Xenopus tropicalis: one gene and its partners. The protein of the gene in region 1 interacts with the protein of each later gene in a biochemical or structural test. Links are inferred from orthologs where the notes say so. Each region holds a gene or a part of one and is shown in the gene's direction. Other genes may lie near its edges.

Region 1 (4,386 bases):
ATAAATGTTCATCTAATCTGCTGTTTTGAACAGAATCTGAATCACCACCTTTCTATTCATTATCTTCTCTGCCTTTTCCCCTTCTGCTATTCTGATTTGAATTCTTCATATTTAAACTATATATATATATATATATATATATATATATATATATAGACAGAGAGCCGCACACAAGGACTTAACGATAAAGTGAAAAAATTTTATTCAAAAAAATCCAACATTTAGAGTACTAACTGTACTCTTCCTCAGGGACAAACCAAAAGGCCAAACCAGCCAGCACCCAGGGCATTTGAACTTTTATAGGGTGTGCTCCACTCTTCCTTGTGTATGTGTATATATATATAAAGAGTAGCTGTAGAGAGAGTCCGCACTCACAGGTCTTACAGAAAATATAGAGGTTTTATTCAAATCAACATCTAACGTTTCGGCTGCATCCACAGCCTTTCTCAAAGACTTTGAGAAAGGCTGTGGATGCAGCCGAAACGTTAGATGTTGATTTGAATAAAACCTCTATATTTTCTGTAAGACCTGTGAGTGCGGACTCTCTCTACAGCTACTCCATCTATTATTTTGGAACTGCACCCAGGCTCCTTTGGACCTACTTTTACGAGAGTGCCTGTCTTCTTGCTACATATAAAATTATATATATATATATATAGTAACTGTTGTTCCCCCTACTTTTTTTCTAAACAATACATAATATATAAAGCAAGAGATGTGTGGAATAAATGAAAGAAAAAAGGGGAGAGGAAAGTAGTACAGCTTCCAGCAAAATGACAATACATTGAACATCTTTGGGAACAAACTCTAACATAGGTCCAAGGTAATCTCCACTAGAGTGCTGTGCAATCATCTTTTATTTAATGCCCCACAGCTTCCTCTGCTGCCCTGGGCCACTGCATGCATAGTATAGTAATGCCAGAAAAATTAATATATCTATGTTTCAACCGGGGGGGGGAACAACGGTATCCATTAAAAAATCAACAATGAACGGGCAGTTGCAGATCCGAGCTTAGTTATTATCTTCTGTCCACTTATTTATAGGGAATTGTTGGTGGGGCTGCCGCCTGGCCGTCCCAGCTGCTAAAAATAAGACTTGCTGCTAATGTCACCAATATGGAAACATATTAAAAGAATAGAGAACATAGCATTGTATCCCAGAAGCAGCAACACCACAATTGGTTACAGACCATGCAAAAAATCTTTTAACGAGGTAGAAAAAAATTCACACAAATTCTTTAATTGTATCGCTTTGCATTTCCAGTACAGTAGAATATAAGACAAACAATGCGGAACGGTGCTTAGAGTACGCACAATAGCAAAACTGACACTTCCCGTAACTCACTAATTGAATATAAACGTCCCTCACGCCTTTTAGCGTGCCGAGAAATAAGAACGATAAAGAGAGATTGTTGCTAAGAACCCACGGGATATCGTCCCCATAGTAAAATGGCAGCTCACTACAGAACGCCAACACCTCCTGCATCCGGTGCTACCTAAACTTTCTTCCGGGTCACGTGACAAGGCCAATGGTCACATGACCGAAAGTGCTGAAGGCGGAAGTGAAGAAGAGAGTGGTGTAGCAGGTAAATACAAATAAAAGAATTTGGCGGAACAGCATAGGGTCGGCGACAGTAAAACAGATTTGATTTGGAAGAGTGGGGAAGAATAAAGCAGGCAGAGAGATATTATGCTGTTTGTTATTGATTGGATTTACATTGTGAGGGGATGGGGAATACACATTTAAAGTACAGAGAACGTTTGCTTTGTTTGGGGGAGGTTCCTAGTAATGGTGTTCGTGTAATAATGAGAATATGACAGCAGACTGAAACACTTTGCTAGCGGTGTATTGGCGATAGCTCGAGGGCACTTTGTATTTCAGGAGAGAACTGGGATTGTGGTGGGAGGGCAAGAAGCCATAACAGTGCGCAGTGTTGTACCGAAAACATAAATATGTGACAAGGTTCCTAGTTATGTTAGTGGTCTTGTTACACTAGCTTATAAAACTCTGACACAATCATTATGTTGTTTGCCATGTACACTCTCTGTTAAGGAAAACGATTTAACATAAGGATATATTAAGAAACCCTTCCAGGAAGCACTGACATGCAGACCCAGATCTCTGGCTGACTCCTAGGTATTCCCTTCTGGATAAATCTGTGCCACCTCAAAATAAACCTCACAAAAACGGATCCTGTAGTCTAGCCATCCAAATCTGGCCTGTCTCATCTCTTTAGCATTACCTTTGATGGCATGCTTATTAATATTGTTAATTGAGCATGCTGCCTGGAACTTATCTTTAACCATTTTAATCCTCAGATTGTTTTAATGCTACTGCCAAAATCTTCTGCTTTCGTCTTAAAAATACTGTCATGTTCCCTGATTTTCTTTCTCAAGCAACTGCTAAAACACGCATCGTGCCATCCCAGCGCTGCGTACACTACTGTACAGCTCTGCGTACATAAGTAGCGCTTTATACATAAAAATATACATACATACATCCCAGACTCACACCTTTTTCTCCATTGTTTTAAACTCAGCTGCTAGATTCCACCTTGCCCTCAGTTAAAATTTTTTATCTTGGCAGCCTAGTAGAGCTATACTGACATGTTCCTATAAAAAATAATTAGAATGTGTAAGTATTATTAAAGAGTTTTTGCACCAAATACCTTCTAGCTAAAATTCCCCCAAAGACATCCCTAGCTCAGCTATACTTACCTGAGCCCACAATCTGACATAGCTAAAGGATGCTCTGTAGTTGTGTCATTAACACTGGGCTTAAGGCAATGTAATCCTTCCATAGGCTGAAGAACTAGCTTTATTTCTTATTAACCTATGAAAGGATTGTGCTGACCCCAGTCCAGCATGACCCAAGAAAATAGCACCTCTTCTTTTATTCACTTTCCCTTTCTTGACAGCTAGGTACTGCTGGGCTTTGGCAGTCCTTTGGCTGGACATATTTTTGTGCTGCAATGTTTTAGTAATACTGATATGTTCCTATGGATTTTCATAGGAACATGTCAGTATCGCTTTAAACAAGGAACTGTTAAACCAAAAAATGAAAATGTTTTAAAGTAATTCAAATAAAATGTGACATAGGGGCAGCCATTCAAGCTGGAAAAAAGGAGAAAAGACATAAATCATGTAGCAGATAACAGATAAAACATAATTGTATTCTACAGGACCTATTTGTTATTTACTATGTAACCTGTGTCTTTTTTCGAGCTTGAATGGCTGCCCCCATGGCTACACAGCAGGGTATTTATATAAATATAGTAGAGTTTCTAAAGCAAACAGATTAGTGTTTCCAGTGCAGGGCAACTTTATATTATATTATAATTACTTTCATCATTTGGTGTTACTGTTCCTTTAATTAAACAATAGTTTACACATCTTCTGCTGATCATTTAACCTGTGTTACATTTCCCCATTCTTTTCTCTGTCTGGCTCATCTGTTTCATTCAGAGCCACTGCCTTTACATAATATCCACATCCACTTCCATATCTCATTTTATAACCTTTCTCTGCTTCTGATCCTTACTTCTGTATTTTCATCCATGAAATGCTCCGTAAGAGGCAGTCTCTCAACCTCTTCAAAAAGAAACTCTGATTCTACCATTTTGAGTTCTAGAACAATTAAGGGCCAATTCCCAAACCTTTGTGTCTGTATGTTATCTACCCATTGTAAACTATGGGCTCCTTCCTCTTATGCATCATAGAACTCAATATTGAAATGTTTGTCCTCCCTGTTCATACTTTTGCTGTGTTGAAGGGATGCACAGAATCCATTATTTTTGGATTTGCCTGGTACAGGTATCAGACCCCTTATCTGGAAACCCATTATCCAGAAAGTTCCAAATTAGGAAAAGGCCATCTCCCATAGACCCAATTTTAATCAAATAATTCACATTTTTAAAAATGATTTCCTTTTTCTCAGTAGTAATAAAACAGAACCTTGTACTTGATCCCAACTAAGACATAATTAATCCTTATTGGATACAAAATAATCCTATTGGGTTTAATTACTGTTTAAATAATTTTATTAGCAGACTTAAGGTAGGAGATCTGAATTACAGACCCCTTATCCAGAAAACCCCACGTCCCGAGCATTCTGGATAATGGGTCCCATACCTGTACTTTATCCAACACAAAACTTGACTTAAAGGAACAGTAACACCAAAAAATGAAAGTGTATAAAAGTAACTAAAATATAATGTGCTGCTGCCCTGCACTGGTAAAAGTTGTGTGTTTACTTCAGAAAGTCTACTATAATTTATATAAATAAGCTGCTATCTAGCCATGGGGGCAGCCATTCAAAGGAGAAAAGGCACAGGCACATAGCAGATAACAGATAAAACACTATTGTATTTTACAGAGCTTATCTGT
Region 2 (4,151 bases), on another chromosome or scaffold:
GACAGAGGGACAGGTAGGAGGCAGACAGAGGGACAGGTAGGAGGCAGACAGAGGGACAGGTAGGAGGCAGACAGAGGGACAGGTAGGAGGCAGACAGTAATTAGAGACAAGCTTGCGGACGTTGCAACATGTACACTTTGTACCCAAACGTCACGAGCCAAAAGTGAGATTTAAGTAGCGGCTCGAGGGGGACTTGTCCAGCCCTAACAACCTGCACTGAAACCTCTCAGCCCGACTTCCCCTCCAACATCACAAGCCGGCCATTTAACCCCATTCATGCACAGTCAAGCTGAGCTGATAACTAAGGCCGATACCCTCTCCCCGGAGAGCTCACTCCATGCATCTACTACCTCTATGTTAGAAACAACATGAAACCCGAGTATGTATAATGTATTCTCCTTATACCTGCCAGGCCCTGCAAGCAGTTTATTCATTAGTAATCAATCTGCTCCCCACAGCTTGAACTACAGCTCCCAGCAACCCCTAACAGCCTTAGCCTACATCCTCTCCCACAGCTCAGCAGCAGCAATGCCATAAAGGTGTATCAGCCTGCCACTGGGAGTAATTATTATACCCAGGTACTTACATCTAAAGAGGTAGTTCACCTTTGAGTTAACTTTTAGTATGAGATAGAGAGTAATATTCTGAGATAATTTGCAGTTTGTCATTATTTTTTGTAGTTCTGTAATTATTTCACTTTTTGTTCAGCAGCTCTCCAGATTGGAATTTCAGCAGCTATCTGGTTGCTAGGGTCCAAATTACCTTAGCAACCAGCAGGATTGGACTGGGCCGACGGGACACCAGGAAAAAACCTGGTGGGCCGCAGGGAGGCAGCCGGCGGGAGTCCCTACTGGGGGTGTGGGGGCCCCTGGTGACCAGGCATTGGTTTCAATGAGAGACTGATATTTCTAAACAGAAAGAAAAGTAATTAAAAGTAACAATACCAATAAAATTGTAGCCTCACAGAGCCATAGTTTTTGTTGCGGGGGTCGGTGACCCCTGTTTGAAAGCTGGAAAGAGGCAGGAGAAGGGGAATAATTTAAAAATGATAAAAATAAATAATGAAGACCAATTGAAAAGTTGCTTAGAATTGGCCATACTGAAAAGCTAACCTCCCCTTTAATGTTACACTGATGGCTTTATGCCCCACTAAATGCATAGTGCACACTCTCACTCAGACTCACACTCTCACTCAGACTCACACTCACACTCAGACTCACACTCTCACTCACACTCTCACTCAGACTCACACATATGACTGACTGTGACATAAAAGAGGAGCTTTCAGTAACCCGAAGCCTTTGCGCAACACAATCCTTGGGGTTTTTTTTTTTTGTTAAAGCGACAGGCTGTCTAGACACCCACGTGATGGGCCGCGCCATTGCGCACAGGAGACTGACAGAGCCGAGAGAGCCGGGGAGAGAGAGAGACAGGCACAGACAGGGGAGGGGGAAGTGAGAGACAGTCAGGGAGAGAGGAGGGGCACTGACAGCAATGAGCAGGGTGAAGTCCCTTGGTAACTGGGTGCTGTGAGTGTGAGCTTTGTGGACACAGCACCCCCCCAGTAGAGTGTAGGTGCCCCAGTGAACCCCCATAGCCGGCCCTCGTTAGCGGAGGGATACCAGTCCTCTCCCCGCTGCCCCTCGCCGTGTCTCCGCTGTGCGGCCGGTCCCTCCTCCTCTCCCCCCCCCCTCTCCCCATCGCACATTTCCATAACACAGACGGGGGCGGATCAGCCCTTTGAGAAGGAGGAAAAGACAAGTCCCACTTTATTTTTTTCCCCTCTCTCCTACTGAGCGGCCGGATAAAGGATTTTTCTTGTGGATTAAACAAGCGAGAGGCGCAACCCAGGGCTTCTACTTCTTTACTGGAACCGCATCGCGTACGGATTATCTATAAGGTTCTGCCGCCCTAGTGCCCCTACTCTCTGCCCATTTGCCCCCCATACACAAGGGATATTATCGGCAGACCCGCTCGTTTGTGGATGTACGAGTTGTGGGGGGAGCCCGCTTTCCTACCGGGAGGATTGTGTATAAATGCCCTTTAGATCCCAGGCCAAGCCGGGCAGCGCTCTGTGCTCCATTCAATGCCCCGCTGCTCCCGGCTCGGCTGCCCAGCATTAGCCCGCTGTATGTGTAGCCGGGGCGGCTGCTTGCCGTTTGCAGTATTCCTGTCGCTGCGACTCGGATCCCCCCGCCGCACTTTGCAGGATCTCTTCCCCTAAAAGACTGGCGCATGTTCCAGATCGCTTTGGCTTGTCGGACCCCCAGCTCCCCCCTACCCTCCCGGGCTGCTGCTGCTGGTCTCTGCCCGGCCTCGGATCCAGGATTCTTCATGATTTGCGGGCGTCATGCACGTTGTTTAGCCGGGAAGCCTTGCTCTCGTCCCGCATGTTCAGGACCAAACGATCGGTGCTCGTCCGGCGACTCTGGAGGAGCCGAGCTCCCGGGGAGAGCGGGGAAGGGGAAGGCGGGGAGAGGGTTCATGGAGCCGGGGGTTGCTGCCTGGGCAAATCGGCGAATAAGGTGCCCGGGAAGGCGCTGGGGGGCTCGGAGGCTGCAGAACTGAAAGCCCTCGCCCACTCCGTGCTGAAGAAGCTGAAGGAGAAGCAGCTGGAGGGGCTGCTGCAGGCGGTGGAGTGTAAAGGGGGAGCCCGCAGCCCCTGCCTGTTGCTGCCGGCGGCCAAGCTGGACTCCAGGCTGGGGCAGCAGCCCTTCTCCCTGCCGCTGCTGCTCTGCAAGGTCTTCAGGTGGCCGGACCTCAGGCACTCGTCCGAGGTCAAACGACTTAGTTGCTGCGATTCCTATGGCAAGAACAACCCGGAGCTGGTCTGCTGCAACCCGCACCATCTCAGCAGGCTGTGCGAACTAGGTAGGTGCCCCCTGTACCCAGACTGGCACTCACACACAGGGCAGGGTGGGTTTGCTCTGACTGCCATCCAGACTGGCACATACACATGGCACGGTGGGTTTGCTCTGACTGCCATCCTGTCCTGCAGGGACTTTGACACCCAGACTGGCACACACACACATGGCAGGGTGGGTTTGCTCTGACTGCCACCCTGTCCTGCAGGGACTTTGACACCCAGACTGGCACACACACATGGCAGGGTGGATTTGCTCTGACTGCCACCCTGTCCTGCAGGGACATTGGCACCCACTGGGCACAGCTGGTGTGTGTAGTTGGCATCAGAGGGTCAGTCTGGCATTAGTATTTCAATGCAGCCACAGGCTTGGGGGTTCAATATTGTGATGGGTAATGGGGATACTGATTTACTGCCATTTGGCACAGTTATAATGGGGTATATGACTGGGCATATTTATCTCAGGGCACAACTATTCTTTTTCCATATTTATCCTTGGGTATAGCGGGAATGGCAAAGGGGGCATGGCTCTGGGTTTCATGGGTACAGCACATTGGATACATTGGTCGCTGTGGCTAATAGCAGGGCAGAGTAACTTGCCCCTTGGTATAACTGACAGTGTGGCTTGGGGATAGTGGGCACGGTGGGTGCTGTGGGGGTACAGTCTGCTGTGTAAGCTGGGAGGTGTCATTGTCACTATGTCATTCCGTTGTACTGTGTGAAAGGAATGGGGGGGGTCACACGGATTGTGGGGGTGCCTTGTGTCACTTTGCCAGGAAACCTTCATATACAAGATACACCCCATTATCATCCAGTCTCCAGTCCTATAGCAGGTCTGCTGGGCTAATATCAGTGGCAATAAAGGGGGGGGGGGGCTTATGTATTTCTGGGGGGGGGGTCTCGGCTCATGTCATTATTAGGTATTATTCCCTATGACAGTAGTGACAGTGCCAGGGGGCTGAGTAGTTACTACTGACATCTCATTCATCCCCCCATCAATGGATCGGGGCTGTCCCTCCCTTTATTGCACTTATACCCTAGTAATATATTGTTTTTCCCTTCATTTACCTTTTAAGCTTATTTCTGTTCTGCTTAATGTGTTTATTAATCATGCCCTCCCCCCTGTTTCCTATTTACCAGCCTACTTTTATTATTACACCCCTATTAAAGTTGGGGTGTAAAGCGTAAACCCCCTCTTTTTGCTTCAATGCCCCTTTCTCCGGCGGCAGTTTCAGCGCACTTTTATATACGGCTGTGCGTATAATGCGCGAATAGCGAAAAAGTCTTT
Region 3 (3,606 bases), on another chromosome or scaffold:
CCATTAAATAAACCCAGCAGGGCTGTTCTGCCCCAATAAGGGGTAATTATATCTTAGTTGGGATCAAGTACAGATACTGTTTTATTATTACAGAGAAAAGGGAATCATTTAACCATTAAATAAACCCAATAGGGCTGTTCTGCCCCCAATAAGGGGTAATTATATCTTAGTTGGGATCACGTACAGGTACTGTTTTATTATTACAGAGAAAAGGGAATCATTTAACCATTAAATAAACCCAATAGGGCTGTTCTGCCCCAATAAGGGGTAATTATATCTTAGTTGGGATCAAGTACAGGTACTGTTTTATTATTACAGAGAAAAGGGAATCATTTAACCATGAAATAAACCCAATAGGGCTGTTCTGCCCCCAATAAGGGGTAATTATATCTTAGTTGGGATCAAGTACAGGTACTGTTTTATTATTACAGAGAAAAGGGAATCATTTAACCATGAAATAAACCCAATAGGGCTGTTCTGCCCCCAATAAGGGGTAATTATATCTTGGGATCAAGTACAGGTACTGTTTTATTACAGAGAAAAAGGAAATAATTTTCAGTAATTAGAATGATTTGCTTATAATAGGCCATCTCCCATAGACTTTCTGTAATTTAGAACTTTCTAGATAATGGGATTCCAGAGAATGGACTAGTTTGTTTACTGCCCTATATTGCAAATGTGAATTCAGCATTGTATGGTGAATTTACATTGTGTGTATACTATACATTGTTAGTGAGGTAAATGGCGGCAGCCCAGGGCATCGGCAGAAAAGAAGATGGGAAGCTACTGGGGGCATCAATATTGCTAATGGGCTGTTGTGGCCTAAGGCTAGTACACAAATTCCTTTAATAATGGACAACTAAAGCCTAACAAAGAACAGGCTAGAAATGCAAAACATTGATCACCATGGGCCAAAGAAGCCGGGCTTGTATAGCAGAGTTTCATTCCAGTAACTACAACCCCCCCCTCCCCAATAGTCCTAGTTAATAGGGCATTGCCAAAATATGTATATGTCATTTTCTTTATAAACTATAACATGGGAAAATGCTTGCAAGACCTCTAAGAATAGAGGCTGGGGCCCTACTCCAAGGGATGATTATAAGCAAATAAACCACATCTTTTAAATCAGCGTTTTTCAACCGCTGTTCCGAGATGTTGCCTGGTGTGCCGTAGGCAGGGCCGCAATTTTTACTTTAAAAAAAATCCGAGCCCTGTCATTGGTTGCGCCCCGTGTGTATGGGTGACGTCAGTACGCACGGGGCGCAACGTTATAAAAGGGCCTGTGTGCGGTCGCGTGTAGGCAGAAGTGCAGAGGCGGCGCGCGTGAGGGGAAGATGCTGCTGAAGCCGCCGAAGAGTAAAATGCTGCTGGGCACCAATGTATTAAGGGGGGCCACGGGGCACACTGACTTATGGGGGCACTGCTGCTGGGCACCAATGTACTAGGGGGGCTGGCTCTTGGCACCAATGTACTAGGGGGGCACTGCTGCTGGGCACCAATGTACTAGAGGGGCACTGCTCTTGGCACCAATGTACTAGGGGGGCACTGCTGCTGGGCACCAATGTAACAGGGGGGCACTGCTCTTGGCACCAATGTACTAGGGGGGCACTGCTGCTGGGCACCAGTGTACTAGGGGGGCACTGCTGCTGGGCACAGAGTTAAATTTTTTAACATTTTCTAATGGTGGTGTGCCTCGTGATTTTTTTCATGAAACAAGTGTGCCTTTCCCCAAAAAAGGTTGAAAAACACTGGTTTAAATGATACAATGGTGCAGACATCAGATCTCTGATGTGACATTAAGGAAGACACACAGAGTTACTAGTAGCAGCTACTTGTCACGGCTACTAAATGCCAGAAAATCCCCTGCCATAGACAATACTGAGAATTGCCTCTGCTAAAACACACGTAGAGACAATTATCAGTAAATGATCAGCATTGTCTGTATCTGTAGCTGCTACTAGTATCTGTGTGTCTTCACCCTAGAACAACAGGCTTTTCTTTCTCAATAACCTGCTTTCCTTCAGACCAACTAACAACCTCTCTGTATTCTCCTAGATCCCCAGTTTGTCGTTTACCAGCTGAAAGTCAAGATCTTCACCTCAACAGCAGGTCCCAAGCGCATCGAGAAGTTGATGTATTTTGATTTCCCCCAGCCTTTGCCCGTTTGCGGGGATATCAAGGTAGAATTTTTCCACAAACAGAACAAAGTGATGAAAAAGGTTAGTGTGGCTTATTTTTTTTCTAAGCAATGTTATAAATATGTTCACACACGGTTACACAACAACTGCACAAGTGTCCATTTAGGGTGAAGAGACACGGAGCTACTAGTAGCAGCTACTTGTCGTGGCTACTAAAATAGACAATGCTGATTATTTACTGATAATTGTCTCTACGTGTGTTTTAGCAGGGTCAGTTCTCGGTATTGTCTATGGCAGGGGATTTTCTGGAGTTTAGTAGCCATGAAAAAGTAGCTGCTACTAGTAGCTCAGTGTGTCTTCACCCTTACGGCGTTGGATTTCTTGCCCCTGAAGACTCTGGCAGCTTTGGGTACGGTGCCCTGGCACAAACGTGGTGCACACACACTCATAAAGAGAATGTCTGGTCCATTTATTCCGACTAATATTCCTGTTTAATCTGTATGGCGATGTGAACGTTTGCATCTGGGACGTTATTTGCATCACGTGTAGCTGTAATTAACTATAAATGACCGGCTCTTATCAGCCATACCTCTGCTCTGTCACTTGAATTAAATATTTACACACAAGCTACTTGCAAGTACACCCTGTGAAACAGAGCCACACACTAGTTTAAGGCTGAACCCTGACCTGTGGGAACGAACGCCAGCTTCATCTCTCCTTGCCTTCCCATTGGTGGCTCATGCGTGAAGGCACTGTGGAATATTGTAGGTTTTTTTTTTATCGTTTGAGGAAGAAAGGAATCATAAAAAATAAAGCAAACTGTTCTTCCTTTGCAACAAAGTAGCCTTTATCTGACAGCATTGATTATCAGTTGATCATTTACACTTGTGGCACTGTAGACTAAACATTGGGGCTGTGGGGCATGTACTTTAATCACAGCTACTTGTGATAGCAAGTCACACACGGGGCCGACTCTCAGGCTGCAGCGGGGGCTGTTTCTCTTCCTGCATTTAAGCACAGCCACTAGCCAATGTCTTTATACCCCCCAGTCACAGGGCATTTTTTATCTTTTCTAATAAGTAGTCCTCTGTTCTTGCCATTGGTTTCCTTGGGAACCACTGTTAGTCAATCTGCTGTGTGCTACAGCGCCCTAAATGTTGACCGCACTATTTATGCTTTTGTATAACTGATGGAATTTATTTACACAGGCAAGTAGGCCCTTGTTTATCTTACACGGAAATAAGGTTTGGATTGGAATAAGACGTTTTGCTTTTGTAAACTTGTCAAAAAAGGCAAATAATGCAACATGTGGGAGTTCTGAAAATCTCCTGTTCAGAAAAACACACACATATATAATATAGTTAAGTTGGGTTGAAAAAAGACCAAAGTCCAACAAGTTCAACCCTTCCAAATGAACCCCAGTGCACATATAGACAGTCTTACCAACCTATCTATTCAACTCACATTA
Region 4 (4,326 bases), on another chromosome or scaffold:
GTCCGCGGGACATTGCGCACGCGCGTCCAGGTGTGTGTGCGTCAAAGCGCACGTACATGTCAAAGCGTGCACGTCCGCGACGCGCTAACGGCGCCGGTTCTGCGCATGCGTGGGGGGTATTTAAAGCTATCAAACGCCTCCTCCTGTGCTATGTTGTCTGCGGCCTTGCCTGGGAAACTAAGCCTGCCTGATTTACCTTACGACTTTCTGTTGCCGATCCTTCGCTTGCCTGACTCTGATTTTCAATACTACAGTAATTATTCTCTAATTTATTAGGAAATGGGGTTAACACCTAATCATGCATGGAAAAAAAAAAATACCGTCAAATACAGCGACACCGATATCATTTTGAAAAATACTGCAATATAAATTTTTGGCCATACCGCCCAGCTCTAATTTCTACCTCCTTCTGCCGATTCAGCGCTGAAGGCAGATTTTGCTCAGGCGCCTTCTACGGTGCCCAAACAAAATCTTTTAACCGGTCCGATTGGTGAGTCGACAGCCTTCTGTGATATCGGCCGCCTCGCCGAGTTGCCATACACGCACCGAATATCGTATGAAACGAGGTTACGTATATTATCGGTGCGTGTATGGCGGCTTTACCCTGGCAATACCGGACCCACCGTATGTTAGAGAAACGCAACGTAATACTTACCTGTAAGATAACTTTACCTCAACTAATATATACATCGACCAGTTAGAGACCTTCTTGTATTTCCGCCGCTATACTAAGGGGCTGATTTACTAATCCACGAATCCGAATGGGAAAAATTTGGATTGTAAAACGAACATTTTGCGACTTTTTCATATTTTTTGTGACTTTTTCGTAGCCGTTACGACTTGCGCGAATTGTCGCGACTTTCGTATTGAGCGCTCGAAAAAGTCACAAAATACCGATCATTACGAAAAAAAAACACTTTTTGGACGTTCGTGGGTTAGTAAATGTGCCCCTAAGTGTAAGAAGGGGCGAAGCAACTACGCGGGGAGTATGAAATAGCTTAATATCAGCCCTGTGATAACCTCAATTGGGATTGTATGAAATCCTGTTAGGAGAGGTTTGTAGTGAAGTAGTATGTTTAACTAACTAATTGGCCGATATAACTGTACAAAATAAGATTGGATATTCCCCATAAAGTAGAATTTAACACTTACTGCCCTGAATAGCCGCCCAAACACAGCGCTACATTGGTAACAACCGTAATACACGGAGCAGCTCTGCGCCTCAGCGCTAAGTGATCGTTACAATGAAGTATTAGCAACGCAGAAACACAACTACAACATTAGCGCCTCAAGCGGCCATGGTTTATTTTCAGTGATACACGCCCCCTAGCGATCAAGAACACATGCCAGTCATAGATCCCTCAGCCAATGAGCGGCCGGCCCTACAGCAGTGGAACCGCCCAGACTGCGTCTCAAAGTGCGAGAGACTCTTCGAGCACGGTGATTGGCTGTTGCTAGGCTGCGGAGGTGTGACCTTTTTATCTCCGCAATATGGCCCTTAACAGGAACCACCTGGATGGCGGAGGTGCAGTAATTAACAACAGCGAGAGGTAGGACAGCGGCTAAGTAGAGAGACAGTCGCGGGAAGCAGTCAGCGAAACGTTAGACGGACCCCCTGCATGAATATGGGTTCCGGGTATCTGTCATCATATATGGGGCGGAGCTTGGACATGACGAGCAGGGATTTGTGCCAATTATGGAGCTGATACAGATACACCCGCCTCCCTCTCTTTGCCTGTCTGCTGTACTATTTGTATAATATTGTGTGTGTTTTCCTATTCCCAGGCACAATATACTTAATTCTATCAGCATATCTATATATAATATGTCCCACATGTATCCCTTGTGAGATTTACTTACTAAACCCCCTTTATTATTATTTATATTATTAATTTAATATAATATTCTTATGAAGCACTTACATAATCACATGATACAGTGGAGGGGTGTATACAGTGCTGCAATATGTAGGAGATATTTAACGCTCAGACCCGGGGAAGGCAGAGTGACCCTGGAGATTATAGGAGGCCCCATAGGGCACTGACTGATAAGCAGTTTTAATAGCTTTATTATAAAAAATGTCTTATTCCTAAAGTTTATTGGGGCGCTAAAATGATTTTGCTATAGGGCTCAGTTATGCCACTGAAACCGCGTATCATTCAGTGTTCTGTTGGATCTCTTACGGTGTCGGACTGGCCCACAAGGATAGCAGGAAAACTCCCGGTGGGCCCAGATGTCAGTGGGCCCTCCTGCTCCTCAGCATTTGGCCTGCTTCATGGTCATTCCCTGTTTCTGAATGGGAACAAAGAAGAGAAATAGATGGAAGAATAGATGCTAGCATGTAAATAAAAGAGACTAGGAGAATAAAGAGGTTGGGTGAGGAAAGGAGGAAAAATAGTTTGGAAAAGCGGCCTGGGGTCTAAGGTTTTCTGGTGGGCCTCTGGGTTCCCAGTCTGACACTGATCTCTTATACCTTGGCAGTTGCAGGGTCTTCTTCCTCTACATTTACACCCTTGGGCACTCCTCTTATTCCTCAAACAGATAGTCAGTTTGGCCCAATATCATGAAGATGCACAATAACCACCCCCCACACACACCACACCCCCAAGGGGTCCCCATCATCCCAAACCCCCCAGTCTGGTGGAGGGACGTCAGTTCAGGAACACCAGCAGGGATCGAGGGGCCCGCTTGGTTTTTTCCCGGTGTCCAGCTGGCAGTTCGTCTTTGACTACTAAACTGCACTGTTCTCATTGAACTTGCCCTTTATTATCTTCCAGTATCCTTACTTCTTATGAACATGTGGAGGTCACATTTAGTGACATGGACAGCACCCCAGAGGCTTTCAGAGGGACCAAGAAAGGCAGAGTCATTCTGACACCATATCGAGTAAGTCTGCCTCCCTTTTCCTTCACTCATTAGGTGCAGTCTGACTCATTGGCACCATGGAATAAACTGCTAATGTGCAACTAAACTTTCCATTAGGTCAGAGAAGACACTTGGGGGTTATGTAATTAAAAAAACTAAATTTGCCCAGGAACAGTAACCCATAGCAACCAGTCAGCAGGTAGAATATACTTATTGGTTGCTGTGGGTTATTGCTATCAGGCAAACTTAAGGTTTAATCGAGTGGATCATTTCCACCTAAGGTGGGCAAAATTTGGCTAAATCGATTGTTTCGCCACCTGCCCATTTTTATCCAGATATTGGTTGGGTAGGCCTGCTGGGGGGCCCCATGGGCAGATAAGCGCCCGAAACGGTCTGAAGGACTCAAATCGGCAACTTAGATTTGCCAGTGTATGCCAAACTTTAGTGTCATTTATTACATATAGGGCTAGTGCCCTTCTACACCTCCTTAATAAAAGTCACAGAGGGGATCCATGAACATATAAAGGCGGCACAAAATCACTTTAATACAGGCCCTAAAGCTTTGAGGTGTCTAATATTCTCTCATTTTATTCCAAGGGGGTACATTATTCTTTCAGTTATTATTATTTCAGTGAGTCATGTGACACAGATTCTAACCTATTTATAAGCATATCTTTTACGGCTCTTGTGTATTATGCATGTGGGTGAGGCTAATTTTGCATCCACAGGTGATATTTGTGTCCAAAGGAAGGGACCCCATGCAGTCGTTCATGATGCCCTTCTATCTGATGAAGGACTGTGAAATTAAGCAGCCCGTATTTGGAGCCAATTTTATCAAGGGCAACGTGAGAGCTGAGCCTGGAGGTGAGCAGTGTTACTATCTGACGGATACCTATGCGTTCTAGGTCCCACTTCAGCTCCTGGGACACCTGCCTTTATTTTTTGCTAATATAATTTGCTGTAGGTTAAATATATCTTTTAATCTGGAATTCATTTCTTTGCCTGCAGGTGGTTGGGAAGGATCTGCTACATTTAAACTAAGCTTTCCTTCAGGGGGCGCTATAGAGTTCGGCCAGCACATGCTACACGTGGCCTCTCAAGGTGAGCAGGGGGTATCTGAAGTCACAATCTCTTGACATTTAGTCTGGACTCCCAGGACTACCTAGGAGAGCAAATACACATTTGCCACAAGCCCCACACCTCGGGGAAAAGATTTAAAGGGAAATCCCAATGGGTCAGAAATTCTGCCTCAGCCTTTGCAATGCACTTTTTCCTTTACCCATTTTTATAAAATATGGTTTCTACTCGCCCTTGTAGCCTCAAGTGGAGGAGCTCCAAATGTTGCCTACCCATATATGCCCAATGGGGGCTACGTCTTCCCACCTCCTGCAGCCAATGGCATCTACCCACCTCCACCTGCTGGTTATCCTTATCCGCCACCACCCAGCGGTAAGTCATTTT
Region 5 (4,116 bases), on another chromosome or scaffold:
ACAGAGTCATTCCCTGTGACAACTCTGAAATACTGGATCAGTACTATAATAAATATGCTAAACCTTTAGGCTGGAGCAATAAGTCCAGTATATAAAAACTTCCCAACTTCTTGCCATATTAATTTTTAAGGGTTTAGATCTCCTTTAACAAGGAATGTAACTTTAAAGCAAGCACACCCTGTGACTGTTGGGAGCCTGCTGAATAATAAGTAGTTTCATTATATGTATATGAAAGATATTATTTCTAATTTCAAGGTGTGCCAAAATGATTTTTCAGGGCCTAGTAACTTCTACTTATGCTACTGTTTACAACACCGTACATGGAGTAGGAAGCAACTAGTCTTTAACTAGTAGTAGTGAAGTGGCATTTTACAAAGTGTAGCACCGGCCTGATGGAAAGTGTTGGGGGCACCCAATAAATTGCCACCCACTGAATCTAAGTTTCCCTGTCCTTTAAAGTGCACCTATGACCCTTTAACTGCTTCTCCCACCAGAGGTGCAGGCTAATAGACGCAGCACTTTGGTTGAGGGAAAACGATAGTTTGGTTTTTAAAAAATACAGCAACTGCCATTTCTAGGCTGCCCGCACCTGAATGAAGCTCCCAGTACAGGCAACCATGTTGTTTGCCATGCGTGGGCATAATAAATGCGCCTTTCCACTTGCAGATGATGCGCATGCGCCTGATCTAGGCGTGGTGGATGCAATTCACCCTCCATCACAAGCATGCACATAATAAGCAACTTGTGGCACTCACTCATTATGCACATTGTGAGAAATGAGGCAATATGGCTGCCCACACCTGGAGCACTCTTCTGCTGCAGGCAGCCTAGCAATGGTAGGAGCTTTTTTTTTTTTCACAAAAAGCTATTGTTTCCCTAACCTCTGATGAGGGAAACAATTTGAGGGTGATAGGTGCCCTTTAAGGTGAGCTGTATTAGAAGGTTATATTCTAGGAGATTAAAGGATATATTCACTGTTCATTCAGAAACTTTGTGTCAAGTTGAAGTTTTCTACTGCACTACTAAATAAAAGCTCTGTAAATCACGTTTCCCCACTAGAAACCAACATCTAGCTTTGTTCCCATCAGCCTCAGCAAGACCCCTCCTTCCTCCGCTCAGATTACACTTCCCTCGCACCAGTGCGTCACAGTGTTCGTGGGCTTGTGGGATTTGTAGGCTGCTCCTCCCACAACGCCGTGGCTTCACTTGCAGTTTCCGGCACCCGTTACTCTTCCAGCCAGCAAGTTAATTCGCAAAGCGGCTCCGTTGTGCCGTAACATGTCGTAATAAAGCCTTTAGTCGTCTAGCAGCCCCTTCTTGCTAAAACACCAAAAGCCTACTGATCCCATCCTGCCCTACGCGGAGGACGCTGTGGGCTCCTGGTTAGAAAGCGGGGAGCGGAACTACCATGGCCCGGCCGGTGGCGCCGGTGCCCAGCTCTCAGAAGGCCTTGATGCTGGAACTCAAGGGGCTACAGGAAGAGCCGGTGGAGGGGTTCCGGGTCACCCTGGTAGATGAGGGGGATCTGTACAACTGGGAGGTGGCAATCTTTGGCCCCCCAAACACCCTCTATGAGGGGGGGTACTTCAAGGTGAGGGTTAGGTGTGTGTGAAATGGTGGAGTTCGTGATCATAGGGGCCTTGGGGAGGGAAAGCCACGCTGGGGGGTATTTAAAGAGGCAGTAAGTAATAGAGGCGTGGGTGGGTATTGCGTACATCGCTGGGCCTTTCTGCACAACAAGCTTTCCTTTGTTTATGTGACTCCTACAGCCATAGCCGTAACTTGCCCGAAACTAATGTTTCACATGAAACTCAACCAGCCCTCAAAGCTACCCCAAAACTAAAACTTACTGAAAGAGTGTGGCACTACTAAATCTTTAATCCTGTTTTCTGCGAGTTGTAGTCCAACAACAGCTGCTAGGCCCCAGCCACAGGATGCACGGTGTTAGAAAGCAATAAAGGCCTTTGTGTAACAGGAAAACGCTCTAAACTCTTCATCTAACTTCTGATTTGGCACTTTGTGTTTGTGGAGATACCCTGGGTTTATATGTATTCATCCTGTGCCTATTTCATAAAGATTTTCAGAAGATTAATCAAACATAGGCGTTCCACTCTTTTACATTTTAGTATGCCATACTAGCTACATGTATGAAGCCTCATTCTTTTAAGGATTAAAGGGGTCTCTATACTTAGTTTTGGGCAGTTTTGTTAAGATGTGCCTTCTATAGTGTGTGTGTATATATATATATATATATATATATATATATATATATATATATATATAATATTAGTTTCAAGGGACTACTTATTCCTAGACATTTGCACAGATCAAGAAATTTAATAGGGGTTTATAATGAGATGTTAAATGGCTAGAACAATGTAATTGTGTTTTACAGGGGTGGTTCACCTTTAAGTTAACTTTTAGTATCTTATATAAAGACCTATTCTAATCAACTTTTCGAATATTCTTCATTATTTGTTTTTCATAGTTTCTTAATTTATTTGCCTCCTTGTCCTAACTCTTTGCAGCTTTCAAATGGGGTCACTGACCCCTGAGCCAAAAAAAAATCATACTAAAAAGTTAAGTCAAAGGTGCACAACCCCTTTAAAGGGGTTGTCCACCTTTTACTTAATTTTTAGTATGATGTAGAGCGTAATATTCTGAAACAATTTGCAACTGGTTTTCATTTTTTATTTGTAGTTTTTTTTAATTATTTCAGTTTTTGGTTGTCTCCAGCTTGGAGTTTCAGCAGCTATTTGGTTGCTTGGATCCAAATTACCTAAGCCACCATGGTGTGATTTGAATAAAAGACTGATATATAAATACGAGAGGGCCTGAATAGAAACATAAGTAATGTACAATAACAGTTAAACTATAGCTTCGCAGAACAATAGTTCTTTGGCTTGGGGGTCAGTGACCCCCCTTTGAAAGCTGCAAAGAGTAAATAATTCAAAAACTATGAAAAACATAATGACTAATTGAAAAGTTGCTTAGAATTGGCCTTTCTATAACATACTAAAAGTTAACTCAAAGGTGAACCACCACTTTCAATATATGTATAATATACATATTATTAGGGATACACTGAATCCAGGATTTGTTTCGGCGTTTGGCCAAGATTCTGCCTTTTTCAACAGGATTCGGATTCAGACGAATCCATGTGCCTGGTTGAACCAAATCTGAATCCTTAAAATCACTATTTCTTTATGTAAACCCAGAAGTTGAACATTTTTATTCCTTTTATAGGTTAGTTTTCAAATGCAAATTAGAGTTTGGTTCGGTATTAGGCCAAATCTTTTACAAAGGTTTGAATCATAAAACTCTGGAATTGGTGCATCTCATTATCCAGCCTCCCTGGAACTGAAAACAGACCTTATTTTTTATTTACTTATCATTAATCTGATGACAGCTGAGCTTGCTTACCCATCATGCAGTTCTATAAGTATGAGATCTATTATTCTGAAAGCTTTTGGACATAATTCAAATCTTTTATTGGGGCCTCTTGCATGATAGCCACATTCAGAGTGCCAATGCACCCTCATTCAATAGGATTTTCAAACTTGCCGTATTGAAAATTGATCAGCTATTGGTCAGACGGGCCCTATACACGAGCCAATAAGCTGTTAATTTGGCCTGGAGGCACTGACCTAGCAGCTTTTATTGGCCCGTTTATGGCCTGCTGAAGCATTTAAAAATAAAAACCAAGATGATCTTTTAGCCAGAAACATGGATTTATGTTAGCTTAGTTATCATAAAGCACAAGATACTGTTTTATTGTTACTACAGAAAGAGAGCAAACAAGTAAAAAATTAATAAATTACACTTTTTTTTTTAATAGACTGAAATTTGGTTGATCTACTCTTAGATATGTTGCTTGAGAACCATTATTTTGTGCTAATCGGAGCTACGGTGTGTTATAACAAAGGCATGGATCTCAACCATACTCACTTGCTTGTTAACCATTACATGTTCTTTTTGTCCTAGGCCCGCTTAAAATTTCCAGTTGATTACCCCTACTCTCCTCCTGCGTTTCGTTTTTTGACAAAGATGTGGCATCCTAACATCTATGAGGTTAGTAAAGACAGGTTGGCTTCTTCCCTTGGTGTAGGATAAAGA

What was found.
Region 2: the proteins of wwp2 (region 1) and smad7 are reported together in a solved structure, tested with the Homo sapiens proteins (2 studies listed by BioGRID, with this or other methods). The link is inferred for Xenopus tropicalis from reciprocal best matches to the Homo sapiens genes WWP2 and SMAD7.
Region 3: the proteins of wwp2 (region 1) and pten form a complex in vitro, tested with the Homo sapiens proteins (7 studies listed by BioGRID, with this or other methods). The link is inferred for Xenopus tropicalis from reciprocal best matches to the Homo sapiens genes WWP2 and PTEN.
Region 4: the proteins of wwp2 (region 1) and wbp2 form a complex in vitro, tested with the Homo sapiens proteins (4 studies listed by BioGRID, with this or other methods). The link is inferred for Xenopus tropicalis from reciprocal best matches to the Homo sapiens genes WWP2 and WBP2.
Region 5: the proteins of wwp2 (region 1) and cdc34 form a complex in vitro, tested with the Homo sapiens proteins (2 studies listed by BioGRID, with this or other methods). The link is inferred for Xenopus tropicalis from reciprocal best matches to the Homo sapiens genes WWP2 and CDC34.

Annotation. Positions count from the first base shown.
Region 1 is NC_030680.2:60,922,938-60,927,323, reverse strand, and holds the start of wwp2 (NEDD4-like E3 ubiquitin-protein ligase WWP2), read left to right. Parts: upstream 1-1,547; 5' UTR 1,548-1,586; intron 1,587-4,386. UniProt on the Homo sapiens protein: E3 ubiquitin-protein ligase which accepts ubiquitin from an E2 ubiquitin-conjugating enzyme in the form of a thioester and then directly transfers the ubiquitin to targeted substrates.
Region 2 is NC_030677.2:205,594,051-205,598,201, reverse strand, and holds the start of smad7 (mothers against decapentaplegic homolog 7), read left to right. Parts: upstream 1-1,327; 5' UTR 1,328-2,390; coding exon 2,391-2,871; intron 2,872-4,151. UniProt on the Homo sapiens protein: Antagonist of signaling by TGF-beta (transforming growth factor) type 1 receptor superfamily members; has been shown to inhibit TGF-beta (Transforming growth factor) and activin signaling by associating with their receptors thus preventing SMAD2 access.
Region 3 is NC_030683.2:12,943,734-12,947,339, reverse strand, and holds part of pten (phosphatidylinositol 3,4,5-trisphosphate 3-phosphatase and dual-specificity protein phosphatase PTEN), read left to right. Parts: intron 1-2,055; coding exon 2,056-2,219; intron 2,220-3,606. UniProt on the Homo sapiens protein: Dual-specificity protein phosphatase, dephosphorylating tyrosine-, serine- and threonine-phosphorylated proteins.
Region 4 is NC_030686.2:44,869,507-44,873,832, reverse strand, and holds the start of wbp2 (WW domain-binding protein 2), read left to right. Parts: upstream 1-1,424; 5' UTR 1,425-1,491; coding exon 1,492-1,550; intron 1,551-2,777; coding exon 2,778-2,886; intron 2,887-3,593; coding exon 3,594-3,729; intron 3,730-3,873; coding exon 3,874-3,966; intron 3,967-4,182; coding exon 4,183-4,314; intron 4,315-4,326. UniProt on the Homo sapiens protein: Acts as a transcriptional coactivator of estrogen and progesterone receptors (ESR1 and PGR) upon hormone activation. In presence of estrogen, binds to ESR1-responsive promoters. Synergizes with YAP1 to enhance PGR activity.
Region 5 is NC_030677.2:105,629,602-105,633,717, forward strand, and holds the start of cdc34 (ubiquitin-conjugating enzyme E2 R1), read left to right. Parts: upstream 1-1,251; 5' UTR 1,252-1,408; coding exon 1,409-1,591; intron 1,592-3,984; coding exon 3,985-4,071; intron 4,072-4,116. UniProt on the Homo sapiens protein: E2 ubiquitin-conjugating enzyme that accepts ubiquitin from an E1 ubiquitin-activating protein, and catalyzes its covalent attachment to other proteins by an E3 ubiquitin-protein ligase complex. In vitro catalyzes 'Lys-48'-linked polyubiquitination.